Oryzias latipes: one gene and its partner. The protein of the gene in region 2 purifies or fractionates together with the protein of the main gene of each other region. This does not show direct contact. Links are inferred from orthologs where the notes say so. Each region holds a gene or a part of one and is shown on either strand. Other genes may lie near its edges.

The links.
Region 1: the proteins of cpsf6 (region 2) and ncbp3 purify together in Homo sapiens (co-immunoprecipitation; 3 studies listed by BioGRID and IntAct, with this or other methods). This does not show direct contact. The link is inferred for Oryzias latipes from reciprocal best matches to the Homo sapiens genes CPSF6 and NCBP3.

The regions. Positions count from the first base shown.
Region 1 is NC_019872.2:24,105,407-24,112,696, reverse strand, and holds the start of ncbp3 (nuclear cap-binding protein subunit 3), read right to left. Parts: upstream 4,260-7,290; 5' UTR 4,119-4,259; coding exon 3,939-4,118; intron 3,126-3,938; coding exon 3,060-3,125; intron 2,720-3,059; coding exon 2,614-2,719; intron 2,541-2,613; coding exon 2,415-2,540; intron 2,337-2,414; coding exon 2,217-2,336; intron 2,140-2,216; coding exon 2,015-2,139; intron 1,496-2,014; coding exon 1,387-1,495; intron 1-1,386. Other genes in the region: rap1 GTPase-activating protein 2, read right to left, coding at 5,873-5,920. UniProt on the Homo sapiens protein: Associates with NCBP1/CBP80 to form an alternative cap-binding complex (CBC) which plays a key role in mRNA export. NCBP3 serves as adapter protein linking the capped RNAs (m7GpppG-capped RNA) to NCBP1/CBP80.
Region 2 is NC_019881.2:14,391,035-14,398,401, forward strand, and holds the start of cpsf6 (cleavage and polyadenylation specificity factor subunit 6), read right to left. Parts: upstream 3,878-7,367; 5' UTR 3,827-3,877; coding exon 3,767-3,826; intron 1,008-3,766; coding exon 798-1,007; intron 683-797; coding exon 579-682; intron 1-578. UniProt on the Homo sapiens protein: Component of the cleavage factor Im (CFIm) complex that functions as an activator of the pre-mRNA 3'-end cleavage and polyadenylation processing required for the maturation of pre-mRNA into functional mRNAs.

The sequences.
Region 1 (7,290 bases), on a different chromosome or scaffold from region 2:
ATTATTAAGCAGACCAACTTTTTCAAGCAATATGGGAAAGAAAAAAAGGATCTTTCTGCTGCTGAACCGTGAAATAGTGAAATGCCTTGAAGAAGGTATAAAAACCTTAGATATTTCACAATGATTTAGGTGTGATCATTGTACTATTAAGAAATCTGTGGTTGATTCAGAACAGAGACGGGTTGCTGCAGATAAAGGCAGAATGAGGAAGATTTCTGCCAGACAAATACATGGGATTAAGAGAGCCGCTGCTGAAATACCATGACAAAGCTGCAAGCACATATTTGAAACTGCTGGTGTCTCTGGGGACCCACCAACATCAAGGTGTAGGACACTCCAGAGGCTTGTAGTTCTAAGTAAACCTTCTATTCGCCAAACAACACTGACAACCAGAAACGGCTGCAGTGGGCCCAGACATAATGAAGACTCATTTTCAAACAGTCTTGTTCACTAATGAATGCCGTGTAACCCTGGATGGTCCAGATGGATGGAGTAGTGGGTGGATGGTAGATGGCCACCATGTCCCAACAAGGCTGTGACGTCAGCAAGGAGGTGGGGAGTCATGGTTTGGGCTGGAATCATAGGGAGAGAGCTGGTCGGCCCTTTTAGGGTCCCTGAAGTAGGTGGAATTTCTGACTGACCACGTTCTTCCATGGTACAAAAAGAAGAACCGTGCTTTCCGTAACAAAATCCTCTTCATGCATGACAATGCACCATCCCATGCTGCAAGGAAAACCTCTGCATCGTTGGCTGCTATGGACAGAAAAGGAGATAAACTGATGGTTTGGCCCCCATCCTCCCCTGGCCTCAACCCTATTCAGAACTTTTGGAGAATTCCTCAAGTAAAATATCTCTGAGGGTTGGAGGCAGTTCAAATCCAAACAGCAGCTCTGGGAGGATATTCTGACATCAAAGAAATTCAAGCAGAAACTCTCCAAAAAGTTCAATAGATGCAACAATTGTGAAGCTACTACAAGATAAGGGGTCCTGTGTTCAAATGGAACTTGACCTATGAAGATGTTTTTGATTGGAATAGCTTTACATTTCAGTAAATACGAACATGTAGCAAACTACCATTTTCAGTTCTTTAGAATCTATCAAATGTTGTGGAACTCGGTTGTGTGTAATAATGTGGAACAGTGACTTTGAGGGTTTTATCTTTAGGTTGTGTTCAGTAACATTTACCGTTATTTATACTCTAACGCTTACTGACTTGAACATTCTGCTGACTGACGTTTGCGTTGACAATTACAGAGAAATCACAGAAAAATGTCATTGGTGTAATTTGGAACGTGCTGCAAAAGTGGGTTTTGTGGTTTCAGGTGGGCTTCAGGGTTTGAGAGTCGCCGTCCTGGTGGGCGTGTCCCCACAGACACGGCGGCTCACCTTGTGTGGCGAAGCGCAGCAGCAGCTTGTTCCCCTTGAAGGGTTTGATGGCGGGCCGCGGCTCGTTCCTCAGCAGCGACTCTCTCTCCGCCCGCGACAGGTCGTCCACCTGAGTCGTGCACACACACATAAACACACACATAAACGTGTCAACAGCTCCTCCTGACTCCAGCCTCTTGCTGAGTTTACTGCAAACTCAATTCTCCTGGCGAATTTGTTTCCTCCGTTTTGACACGCGCTAAATTTGCTCCTGGAAGCTTGTCGTAAACCTGACGCTCCTGCTGTGTGTGGGAGGGGCTAAAGGTTTGGAAAATCCCAGAATTTTTTTTTATTTTTGTCTCTATGGAAAAAAGAAAAATCATAAAGTTAAGGAGGAGAGCGGTCAGATTGTCCTCCATGTTGGTTTTGGCCTCCAGATGCTGATCACGTCATCAAAGCATCCTGGGCTAAAGCTGACTCCCTGATTGGTTGACGTGACGCGAATTCGTGACCAAAGTTCAGCCAGAATATTCACCGCTCGCCAGAATCTTTCTGACGCTTCACTCCCGTTCAGTGTGAACGCAGCTTTAGACCCCCCACCCCCCACTCTCTGACTGACCAATGAGCTTGTGCGGTTGGTGACAGCTACCTGTGTTCCGCGCTCCTTCGGCTGCTGCTCCTCCTGCACTTCACTGCTCCTTCTGGCTGCCCCGTCCTCTTCATCGCCCACCTCACCCTCCTCTTCCTCATCCTCTGAGTCTGGACCTCGCTGAGCTGTTGTGTGCAGATAGAGCCATTACCCAGGCTGCACTGCGGCCTCGGAAAGTCAGAGCATGTTTCCACTCGCTGACCTTTGCTCTCTTTGCCTGGCTGCTCTCCGGTCTCCGTGGTAACGGCCTCCGGGTCGGGCATTCTGCTAGTGTTGATGAGCGCTCGGATGGAGGTGTCATCGTCCAACCAGACCACGTTACCTGAAGGATGGAAGCGGTGGTTAAACCTCAGGACCCTCTTTGGGTTTCCTGTCGTCCTGCAAACGTTCGTGCGCTCACATGACGCGTCGTCAATCCACTCGATGTGGGCGGGAGGATACTCCTTAAAATAGCCGAAGATGTCCTGCGTGCTCATGTCGTCCACGCCCGTGACGTGGAGCGCCTCCAGCCGCAGGCGGGGAATGGCTGAAGCAGACGACAACGTCAACAATACACCAACACCACCTCGGGACACGACAAAACCCGGAGCCACCCCCACCTTTCTTTATGGTTTCCTTGTCCAGGACGACGGCCTTCTGACTGACGCTCTGCTCGCCGCAGAAATGGAAACGTCGCGCTCGCTTCTCCTTCTTCTCAATCGCCTCCTAAAACACAAACAACTGTGTCATACCCCGGTTTGTAGTTGGCTACCATGGTAACAGCTTCCTTCACGTCAGAGTTAATGGTTTGTGGTTGGAGGTGAAGGCAGGTCACACGTCTACTTTCTTCTGATCGTCTGGGTGGCAGAGGCAGCAGTCTGAGGAGAGACGAGGCGTTCCCAAGCCAGGCTTGGAGAGGTCGGCACCCAGGTGGGTGATTCAGTGAGGTTCTTTTTCATGAGGCCTTGCACTTTTGGACCTGGACTGGAACTTTATTTCATGCTTTCAATGCTTTTTACCAACAACGAGCTGATCACATGGCAGCTGCGTGATGAGGCTGCGGTACCTTTGAGTTGACGTCAATCCCGGTGATAAACGCTCCGGCCTTGTTCTCGTAACGCCGGCTGGTGTCCTGCAGAGACAGAGCGGGCAGAACTAGGTCATCTGCCAGACCGGGTCATAATGGGCCGAGCCAGACTAAAGAAAAGTACAACTTAAAGTACCGTTAACTTTCACACACCTAACTAGGTATGTGAAATTTGTTCTCCACATTTGACCCCACCCCTGGGGGAGCGGTGAGCTGCGGACACAGCCGCGCTCGGACGGAACTTTATGGTGGATTAAGTTAATCCACCATATAGGGGGTTATTCATTAACTCCCCCAATCTAACCCCTATGCTGAGTGTCAAGCAGGGAGGCATTGGGTCCCATTTTTAGAGGCTTTGGTATGACTCGGGCTGGATTTGAACTCACGACCTTCCAGTCACAGGGCGGACACTAACCCAAGGCTACTGAGCTGGTTCAAGACCGGGTCATGATGGAATGACCCAGACTTAGACTAGGTCATAAATGGGCTGGCCCGGACCTGAGACTGGGTTATAATTATAATGGACTGACAGTAGCTAATCGATCATTTTAGCTGAATCCCCGCAGAAAGCTCTGCTTATAATATATGCACGTTTTTAGACGGATTCTCCAAACTCACCGCCGTTTCTTAGGTAAGTAAAGATCAACAGGTGAGCGACACAACAACTCTCTATTGGCTAAGGGGCCCAGAAAAGAGAAAATCCCCGTGGCTGCAGCGAGCATTAACAGCGGCGCCCGTCACCGACTAATTCCTGGAACTACTAGACGGAGCTTCGGGTAATAATCGCATGCCGACTCTGTATGTTGAAGCAAAACTCCAGTCCCCGGCTCTGCGGGCCTAAGTAGTTCGGGGTCTTACCGGCAGAAGCTCCTTCAGAGAGCGGTTAACGGAGATATCCTCTGCATCCACCTCGCCCTCCTCCACCTCCATCGGTTCGGCTTCGCGAGCGTCATCTCGGTCCGACTCGGAATCCGGTTCCGAGTGCTCTGAGCCGCTGTCTGGTTTCACCGATACCCGCAGGCTGCGCACCGCCGCCATGGCGCTAACTACTGCGAACAAGGGCTGCTGAGGCTGCGGTGGTACCGTGACCCGGCACTGGTTCGGTGCGGTGGTACCGTGACCCGGCAGACGTTCCCTGCTCTTCTTCTTCGTTGACGGGAATGTAACCGAGTCGGGGGTCTGGCGCCCCCTATCGCACCGTTCCGTCACAGTCAGTTTGTCAAAGTTTTTTTCTTAAACTTTATTGTTCAAAACAAATAGAACAAATATGTATAACAAGAACAACAGTCATTAAAAACGAGAATGCCAGGGGATGGTACATAGATACATGTATTACAAAAGAAAAATTACAGAAACAGATTGCTATGAATTGAAAATGTTCAAAGTCAGTTTGTCAAAGTTGATGGCTGGGCCTCCAACAACTATGACATCAGTCAGCACCAGAGCCTGGAGGAGAGACTGTCTGCAGCCCGGATCCTGTTCCAGAACGACCCGCCGTGCCCGGTGGTCGTTGATGAAGTGAGCAACGCCAACGATACTCTGTTTTTCCCCCAGCTGACCTTCATTCACCTCCTTCCCAGAGCAAATCGTCTGTGGTTGTCTCTCTCTGCATGAAACCAAGGTGTTGTTCACAAATGTTCAGCTCTGACTTCAGTCTGGCTTGCTCTCCTCTGTTTCATGACTTCTCTGTGACTCATCCGTTTTATTCCTCTTGATGAACAGTCCAGTCATAAACTGACAGCCACCTCTCCTAAACTAACATGTTCTTTATTCATCGACTCTTCAGCGTTCTCCTCCATGTATGTCGTAAAATCTGTCGAGACATTTACATGTATGTACTAGGAACAAATGACACATCTGTTGTTCCACATCAGTTTTTTAGCTACAAACTAATGACTTCCGTTCAGCTTTTAGCTTTAACATGACATGTAAATCAGTTCATGGTGAGTTTTGGATTTCTATATCTGGGTAAAATATGTGTGTTTTTTACATTTCCCTTTTTTTTTTTTTTGCTTCGCAGTTCTTCTCTTCTCTGCACAGTGGCGCAGTGGTTGCCTCACAGCAAGAAGGCCCCCGGTTCAGGTCCCGGCTGGGGGACCTGAAACAGAACATCAATGGGGGACATTTCTGTGTGGAGTTTGCATGTTCTCCCCGTGTATGCGTGGGTTTTCTCCGGGGTCTCCGGCTGCCTCCCACTGTCCAAAAACATGCTTCATAGGTTAATTGGTTAATCTAAATTGTCCATAGGTGTGAGTGTGAGTGTGAATGGGTGTGTGATTGTGGACATTCTACCCTGCGACAGACTGGCGAACTGTCCAGGGTGTCCCCTGCCTTCGCCCACAAGTGGCCGGGATAGGCTCCGGCAGCCCCGTGACCCCGAAAGGGAAAAACGGAATAGAAATTCAATGAGTTCTTCTCAAAATGTCCCACAGATCCGACACTTGTCGGGGAGAAAGAATGTCTTCCATGTTTGTGAGGAAATAATTTATTTCCTTTGTGCACCACATGAACAGAAAACACCTCACATTACACGGATCACATGATTACAAAAAGTGCTGGAATCAATAAATGTGAAAAACAGACAATTTAAATCCCAAAGAAACCACTCAGACGAAAGAGGACAATTATTGAAATAAATTACACTTTGACTCGTTTAGTGTAAAAAAACTAAAAGGACTTTTGTGAAGTTCATACATCAAACTGTACAAGTTAAAAGCTCCAAAAATCTTGCTGTGATCCTCAGAAACCAGGTTGTTGAGTGTGAAACAGAAGAGCTGCAGTGAAATACACCATCAGTGGTCCTCACAAAGGTGGGGAAGCTTGTCTGTGTGCGACAGTTCCTGTGGAAAACAGACAGAAAATCATTCACTTGTGTGTCCATGAAGATTGTCCTTCATGTAGGTAGAGTCCATCAAAGCAGAAAGCCGTTTTAGCAGACGTTTAGTCAGTTCAGTATGATTATACTACTGCCTCAAACTGAATTCAACGTTGGTGAAACACTGTGCGCAGAGCGCCCTCTAGTGTTGACATCTATAAGGTGCACTTTGATTTGAATATCATAATACCAACTAACTCTGGGGGGCAGCACAGGTGTTTTTCTGGGATAGGCTCCAGAAAACCCCATGAAGCTGCGGTCACACCAAACGCCATTCCCGTGGCATTGGTATGTCAATAGTACAGACACGATTTAATTTTTAATTGCACCTCTTTAGTACACACATGCATACACACATAGCGAGAAGGGGATGGTCACGTTGTACCCTATCCCCCGTACCACAGATGAGGTGGGGCAGATCGGTGGCTACTGCAAGGCCATTTGTGGTGTCCCAGGGATTCCTGTGCCTCTGACCTTGCAGCTCTTTTCCACGCGGTGTGGGAGTCCCCAACATCTGAGCTGGGTGGACTGTATTCCCAGAGGAGCAGATTGGGCCCCTTTTCTAGGCACACCAGGGCTCCCCAATTTTTCCATCACTGTTCACAGCAACTAAAGCCTAATCCTTACATTCCTTATATTGACGTGTTCTCCCTACCAAGACAAAGGTGGATAAAGGTGGAAAGATTTCATTTAATCCATGGACACCAGTGCAGATCACAAATCATTGAAAAAAAAGGTTCAAAGCACTGTCTAGTGGGTCTAGATGACACAACTCCCAACGTTAAAGTGCCTAGGATAGCACAAGGGTTAACTTTACAATGTTTTTCTTATTATCAACGAGACAATAATAAAAAATGTCCTCTAATTTTACTCTTGTTTTTATATTTTTCCTCTGGTCAACGCGGGACAGCAAATCTTCAAACTCAGAGAGACAGAAAGACCCGTGGAAGCGGCTGTTGTTCAGACACAGCATGGAGAGTGAAGCTCACTGTACCAGCAGACACTCTTAAAGATCTCATGAACCAGGACCTGGAGACGTGATTACTGATACTTTTGTAGAGCTCTTCAAAGTAAATAAAGCCCCGAGCAATCAATCAATCAATGATACTTTATGAATCCCATCATCCGTGTCTTCCATGCATTGTAAATGATAAGCAAACACTGGTCCATGCAGGGATCATAGGTCCATGCAGGGATCACGGGTCCATGGAGCGATCACAGGTCCATGCAGGGATCACGGGTCCATGGAGCGATCACAGGTCCATGCAGGGATAACGGGTACACAGAGGGATCACGGATCCATGCAGGGAACACGGGGCCATGCAGGGATCACAG
Region 2 (7,367 bases):
AGGTAGATCTTTTGGAGCTTGTCTCAAAAGTAACTCGCATGCCAAAAAAGTGTGGGCACCCCTGGTGTAAGCTCAAACCGGAAATCATCAAACTATATAATGGTACGGTGGACAGTAAGCATCACCTTAAGGGTTTTGTGGTGGCACAACTTTAATTACTTCTGTTCAAATTGTCTTGAGTCTCGTCACAACTCTGAAAATGAATAAACTCTGCGCGGTTTAAACAAAATGCATACAATAAATTGCACATGACATGGATTCCTATACATATGAATGTATAATAAAATAAAAAATACTCTGACGTCAACACATAAATAACACACGCTCTCTTTGACATACCGTAACTCTTTGGCCATTTACGTGATCAAACCGAATCGGCTGATTCTGATCTGGAGAAAAGCAGGTTTTCATAGAGGATTTGCACCGATATGCAACACATCATTAATGTAAAGTGTTGCACATCAGCGTAAGGCTGCTTTTTCCACAGTTGAAGAGTCACGGTAATCCAAAGAACGTTAACATTGAAGCTAAAGCCTCGGTGTAAAGAGTTAAACACAAACAAAAACTACTGTCCTCACCCTTTTGACTGGCCATTAGCCCTGTTTTCAAAGAACTTTATCTCCAGCACATCTGTAATGCCTACTGAACGAATGGCTTCAGTCAGGTCTTCATCTGTTGTCCACTGTAAAAAAAGAACAATAATAAAAAGAGACAAATTATCAATACTACTTTCTTAGCATTTAGTCGAAATTGACAATGAAACTTCTAATTATTTAATTTGAATGGTTGAAACCCACCCATGTAAGGTTGCCGATGTACAAAGCAATCCGTTTGCCTGTATAGGTGTACACCACATTGGGTGGATTACTCTTCCCTCCGTCAGAACCGCCAGATGGAGGCATTGAATCCATGTAGTCCCTGTCTTCTGGAGCATCTCCATTATTGGCAGATGGGGATATCACATCATCGTACAAGTCAATCTGCTCGTGAACTGGATACTCCGATTCCTTTAAAAGAAAAATGAGTTAACACAGTTAAAGCAAAACATGTGGGGTTCAATTCCACAAGAACCTGAAACTGTGGCTCAACGTTTATAAAAACTGGGGATGTAGAAATGCATCTTTTAAGTGAAAGATATTATGGATGGATATTATTTTTAGTAATGTACAGGGGTGTAACGATTAATCAACGAATCGATTTATTTTCTTACGATTGAAACAGATGTATCTGTCTAATCTAAGGTAAGTTGCTTATCGAATTGGCAGTTTGCCACAACTGGGACGCAGAGGGAAAGACAGTGGCTGTGACAACATTAACCACTTGGATCTGTCGCCTCTTTGCATCTTTCGGGATTAAAAACAGTGACAATCTCTTCTCACAATGAGCTTTTGTCACCCCTATGGGGCCAAAAGGAAATGGTCCATTCAAGCAGCGCTGTTACTGTGACCCCAACCACTTTTATAGTTTCACATAGGGCTGCACGATATGAGGAAAACTCGCGATATGCGATATTGGTGATTAATATTGCGATAACGATATGATTCGCGGTATATAAACAAACAGCAAAACAACCAAAAACATAATTTCCATTTCACTGCAACAGTTTAAAAATTATACTCCAAATGACCCTTGTCGACATAGGAGGCAAACATCAAACATAAAAGGGCTCATCTGATTGATCAACAACGTAAATGGGTCCTTCCGATTGGTTAAATGCATAAAGGGATTTATTTCATTTGTTCAATATTTCAAGCTGCCACGAGATTGTTTTAGCACATTTAAGGTAACCATTTATTGCGATTTTCGCCGTCTTTTGTGGTATGCATATTGCACAGCTTAATGTCGCGATAACGATAAATTTGCGATATATTGTGCAGGCCTAGTTTCACACAATGTACGTTACTTTCTGCCTTTATGAACGGGTGATTTAAATGATTGTGCACTGCAGGCAAAAAAAACAAGTTTGCCACGGTGACGTAATGACCCTGTGTTTTGAAGCTGTTGGCGGTGAGATGACAGGTGGGGCAATACGATGAGCGCATGCATAAGCGGGAAACGCGCTAAAGGTTAATGAATGCACAGCCGGTTTTTTAATTATATTTAGGATGTCACAGCGACTGCCATTTATGAAGTTATAAGCTCAGTTTGTTGATAATACCAAATAAGGTCAGATTATACCCTGACTTTTTTATGTTCTGACAAATGTAAATGTGAAATGAGAAAAAGTTTTAAAATGAATAGTACAGCTGATCGCCACTCCATTTACTGGGGGTGAAAAAAAATGAAGAATGTCCAATTGTGGAAAATTTATATTACTATAATTAGCATTCTAAGGTCAAAGTAAAACATTTACTTTTACATGCAATAAAAACACCATGATAGATTTAATTTACATGACGTATACAGTATGATGTACCACAAATGCTGTACTTTTTGTTTCAAACTAACATAGTTTTAAGTTATTTAAGTTCACTTTTTAAGTTTGGCCTATTTTCCTTGTGCAATATTGTTATGAAAGAACGTCTTTGAGGTAATGCCAAAATGCCTGCTGTTGGGAATTAAATACATTTCTAGACATATTGAACTTTTTTACATTCTAAATTTCAAAATGGCACTTTATGTCACAAATGCTGTTGACCCCTAATCTATAGAAGTTTACTGCATATCACCAGACGCTTACTTAGCTCCCTGTTTTACTGGAAATTGCTGCAGCTATAATAAAACATGGAGACCAAATAGTGCTAGAGAGTTAGTCAACAAGAAGAAGCTGAAATAAAAGAAATTACACCAGAATTTAAAAGTAAAAATGGTTACTAGAAAAAGCAAATTACTATAATAAATTGATTTAAATTAATTAAATTCCAAAAGCATTTTTTTCTCTTTATTTTATGTCACGCTTTATGAGGAAAAAAAGAGTAGTAAACTTAAAGAAATGTTAAAAAAAACTAAAACATGACTAATAATTTTTAAGTCACTGGCTCTTAATTAAGTTTAGCTAAACAATTTTAATAAGAAACAAGGAAAAAAAACATTTATTTTTAAATGTTTAGCTCCGACAGTATAATACCATAACAAATTCTGTGCAAAACAAATGTCAGTAAGTTATGATTTTAGTATGCGGTCTAAAAAGGGGGGCGCGGTTTTTAATGTGCGCGCGCGCAAGAATAAAAAAAAACACCCACCATGCATGATGACCCAACCTGCTGCCAGAATGGAAGCCGTGTAACTCGTGTTTTCCCCTTTTGTTTTTATTTTTGACGTTTTTAAAAGTACACCAAGTTACATTTGATCCAAACTATAACCCACGTCCAATACAGTAAACCAATTAAACGTGTGAAGTTAACCAACACCAGCTAGCTTATCATGAAATGCGTGTTTGGTTAACAGCCTCCGTCGGGAGAAAAAAAAAAAAAGAAAGCACACACTGCGCGGCCTATACGCGCGCTCCACTGAAAAGGCTGCTAGACGCTTTGCTGATGGACAAAAATGTACATATTCTAAATAATAACCCACATCACATTTACCTCCACATGTGTACTACTGTTTGAATAAAAAATGCAGATCTATTGTACAGAAGTTTGCTATCTATGCTGCAACCAACGCAGCACACTGACTGACAGAGGCCTGTGTGTGTATTGCTAGTGGAGAAGCTAGCACGAGCATCAAATTACACCTATTTTTCCTATAACGCCGAAAAGACCATTGCAAAAATTAGAAAAAGAACTTCAAAGCACTGAACAAACTCGAGAATATTTTATTTTAATACCTGATTAAATTCCTCTTCTACGTCGGCGTAGATGTCGATATGATCCACACCGTCCGCCATTTTCCTCTGCTTCGTGCCTCCGTCCGCCTGGCGGTGCAGAGGATCGGAGCTACAAACAATAACTCCGGGAGATGCATCAGCGCCCCTGCTGGTCGTATTCACTAACTACAGCCTGCTCTGCTGGGAATGACGGATTCATTGATCATCTGCATTTCACTTTAAACATTCATACTACTGAATACGACATCTATAAAAAATATAAATTATTCTGTTATGTATTTTGTAATTACGCATTTAAAAGAGGAATTCAATATCTATTTATTTATTAATAAATGATTTTCACAACAATGGAAATGCAATTTCTAAAAGAACTCAAATAGATAGAATAGATCACGCTTTTTTCTACGTACAGCTGTGCACCTGCCATTACTGTTTTGTTGATTGAAAATTTCAGCAAATTTGACACAAATCGCTGGAAGAAATGGTCTTTTAATAAAAATTGTAACAATTCTTGACAACAAAGTTAAAAGTGAAAATAAAAAGCAAAGTTATGTGTAAAGAGAAGAGTGAAACATGATCTCCAACTATATAGTTTCCTGTGTATTAGGTATTGCTGTAATTATACTATAATATTTTTTTCAAATTAAAAATATAAATATTTTAAGACGCCCAAGTGGCTGGGATAGGCTCCAGCAGCCCCGTGACCCCGAAAGGGAATAAACGGTTAAGAAAATGAATTAATGAATGAATGAATATTTTAAGTACATTGACAAGACACAAAACATTCTATTTTGGTGTATTATTTGTAGACTCACATTTTACACTATATTAGACATTTTATCAATAATGTCATATAAATAAATTTAAATCTGGCTTTTGATCAACATTTGAATACTTACTCTGATGTAAAGGATACAATAATAACTATAACACATAGGATTTTACCTTAAAAAGTAATTTTGTAAAACTTTATTGGAAAATAAAGTTTTATTTTTTGAAATCATCTGTCATTCACAATCCAATTTGTTGAAACAACCACTGCTATCATACTATATCTTTATAAATTTACTGCTCATTTATATGAAACTATAAGTTTATAAATAATAGGTGAATAAAAGGAGACAAACAGAAATGACACACAGTCAAAGTAAATGTAATAAAAACAACTTTGTGGATCTTTTATTTTATAAATAATGGCTTTAATCCATGTAATACTTTCATAAGAACAATTTACAGGTTTGTTTTACAAAGGAAAAAAACAGAACAAAAGAACAAAATCACATTCCAAGTTTTAGCTCCTCCTAAAAAAAATCATAAACATTTCATATATATTAGATTTTACCTCTGTCAATAACACAACCAAAGACAACAACAACAAAAATAATAATTTCAGTCAGACCATTTTAAATGTTTTAGTTAAAAAGAATATAAAAAAGGTAACAAATATATTAGAAGTAAATCTTTTTAACATGCAAAAATGGAAGAAAAAAAGAAGTTTGAAAAAAAGAAGCGTTCAGTTAAATCAATATAAAAATACATTGTAATTTATTGGTAAATAAATCAACATTAACAAATGTTATTATCATTAGATAGATACCATTGTGATTCTTTTTTCTTTTAAAGTTGTTTACTTATTTTTTTCAGCAGAGCATTACAGATACTTAAAAAAAAACCTGAGGCAAAATGTTATGCAAAAGAAAAACTTTTTTTTGCTTTAACTTCAAGAACAATTTAATTACATGGTGAAAGTGCACAAGACAAAAAAAGGCAGAAAAACGTTTTAAAATTGTGGCAGGTAAAATGTAATTAGTCTTAAAACATGTAAAAATTAGGGATAAAAGTATGACCCTTCCAACTTTTAACTTAAATATTTCTGATACCACTCATATAAGACATTTCTGACTGGGCCTTCATCTAGTCTGCTTTGGTTGATTCATCAAACCCCTTTAAAAAATGCCCTGTGATACAATTTACCAACTCAAGTTTCTCTTCACGCTAACTATTTTTTCAAATGCAACATATAACAAAAACAGATGCAGTAATGTGGATCTTGAAGGCTGAAGTGCATATTTGCAAATGCGCTCTAGGCCTTGCCTGTGATCTTCAGATCAGAGGAAGATGGAGACGGACAACTGGAGATGTGTTGCACTCTTGCTCTAATTACTTATGCTGCAACTTGTGACTCACCATTCCTTTTAAAAACAGATGCTGTAACCTTCATCTTTTCAGTCCATTTTCAATCTGTGACTCAAAGGCGTGCAGGAGTGAGTTTGCTGGAAAGTGTCCATGGCAACAGCAATCCATTAACTTGCTTTACTCGGTTGTCATTCTTAAACTTACAAAATATAATGCTTCAGAAGTCCAAGACTTTTTTCCTTTTTTTTAATGAGAGCAAGAAGACTTAAAAACGTTGTAAGAAAGTTGTCCATCATCAGGAAATTGATCCAGCAATGGAAAGACATAGCAGGAGGAGGACATATGACAGTGAAATGACAGATGCCCCTCCACAGTCGTCTGCATTCTCCTGCAGGACCCAAGCAGAGACACAATTTGATTAGAACTTATTGCAGGTTATTACTCAAATCAACAAGTTGCTATTTAATACTTTACAAATAACATATAGACAAAAATAAAAAGATAAGCACGAGGATATAACGAGTGGAAAGCTTACCTGCGGATGATAAGAATGACAGGACTCAGGGCGTCTGCGAATCTTCTGAGACCTCATTCTGTCACACTTCACTGATGCATTATGTTGAACAGGGTCAAGGGGAACAAAAAACCAATAGCGTCTAGAATTGGGCATTATATAATACACATTTTTGGGTCATAGTAAAAACGTAGAGGATGTAAGAAAAATCCATATTCTTCCTGAGATCAATTGATTTTTAAAAATGTATTTAGATTTTTCATAATGTATATTAGATACCCAAATCAAAGGATATATTTGACTTCTTTGGGCTCCAGGGTTATGGGCGGGTACTGCCTGGAGCAGTCACAGTCTGCTTGCACAACCAACATCAACAGGTTGCTCTCTGGGATCTGTTGCACTACAAACATTCTGACACAAACAGAATAAGTGCTCTTAAACAGCATAGAATAAATAAACTTTATTGTGCGTGTCTTTAGACTTAAGGGTCAATGATGACTGAAATACCATATTTTTCCACAAGAGGGCGGTCATACTCAACACAATATTTATGACCAGTATGCTTTTCCTATCCACTTCCATTTGAATCCAGTTATTTTCTCTTTTTTTCTGCTCCTTAAAATTTACCTACTACTCTGTCTCCCATTCTCCCAATTTCTCAATAACCCAACACTTACCTTTCTCTTGATAAAACATTCAAACAAACAAACACTGCTCAAATAAAGCAGAGGCACTGAAAATGTGTTTTAAAAATATAATTTAATGCGGCTTGCAGAGGGCCATTTAACTTTTTTGATGTTCATAAAGTGTACACAAGTGTGTGCTTACTTCTGGCATCGTCCACACTTGATAATGCTGTTGGTCTCTTTGACTGACGGCTCATAAATGAAGCTGGGGTACTCAGTGTCACATGGCTGCAGGATGTCCACTTTTTTCTTATGAACATAGGCT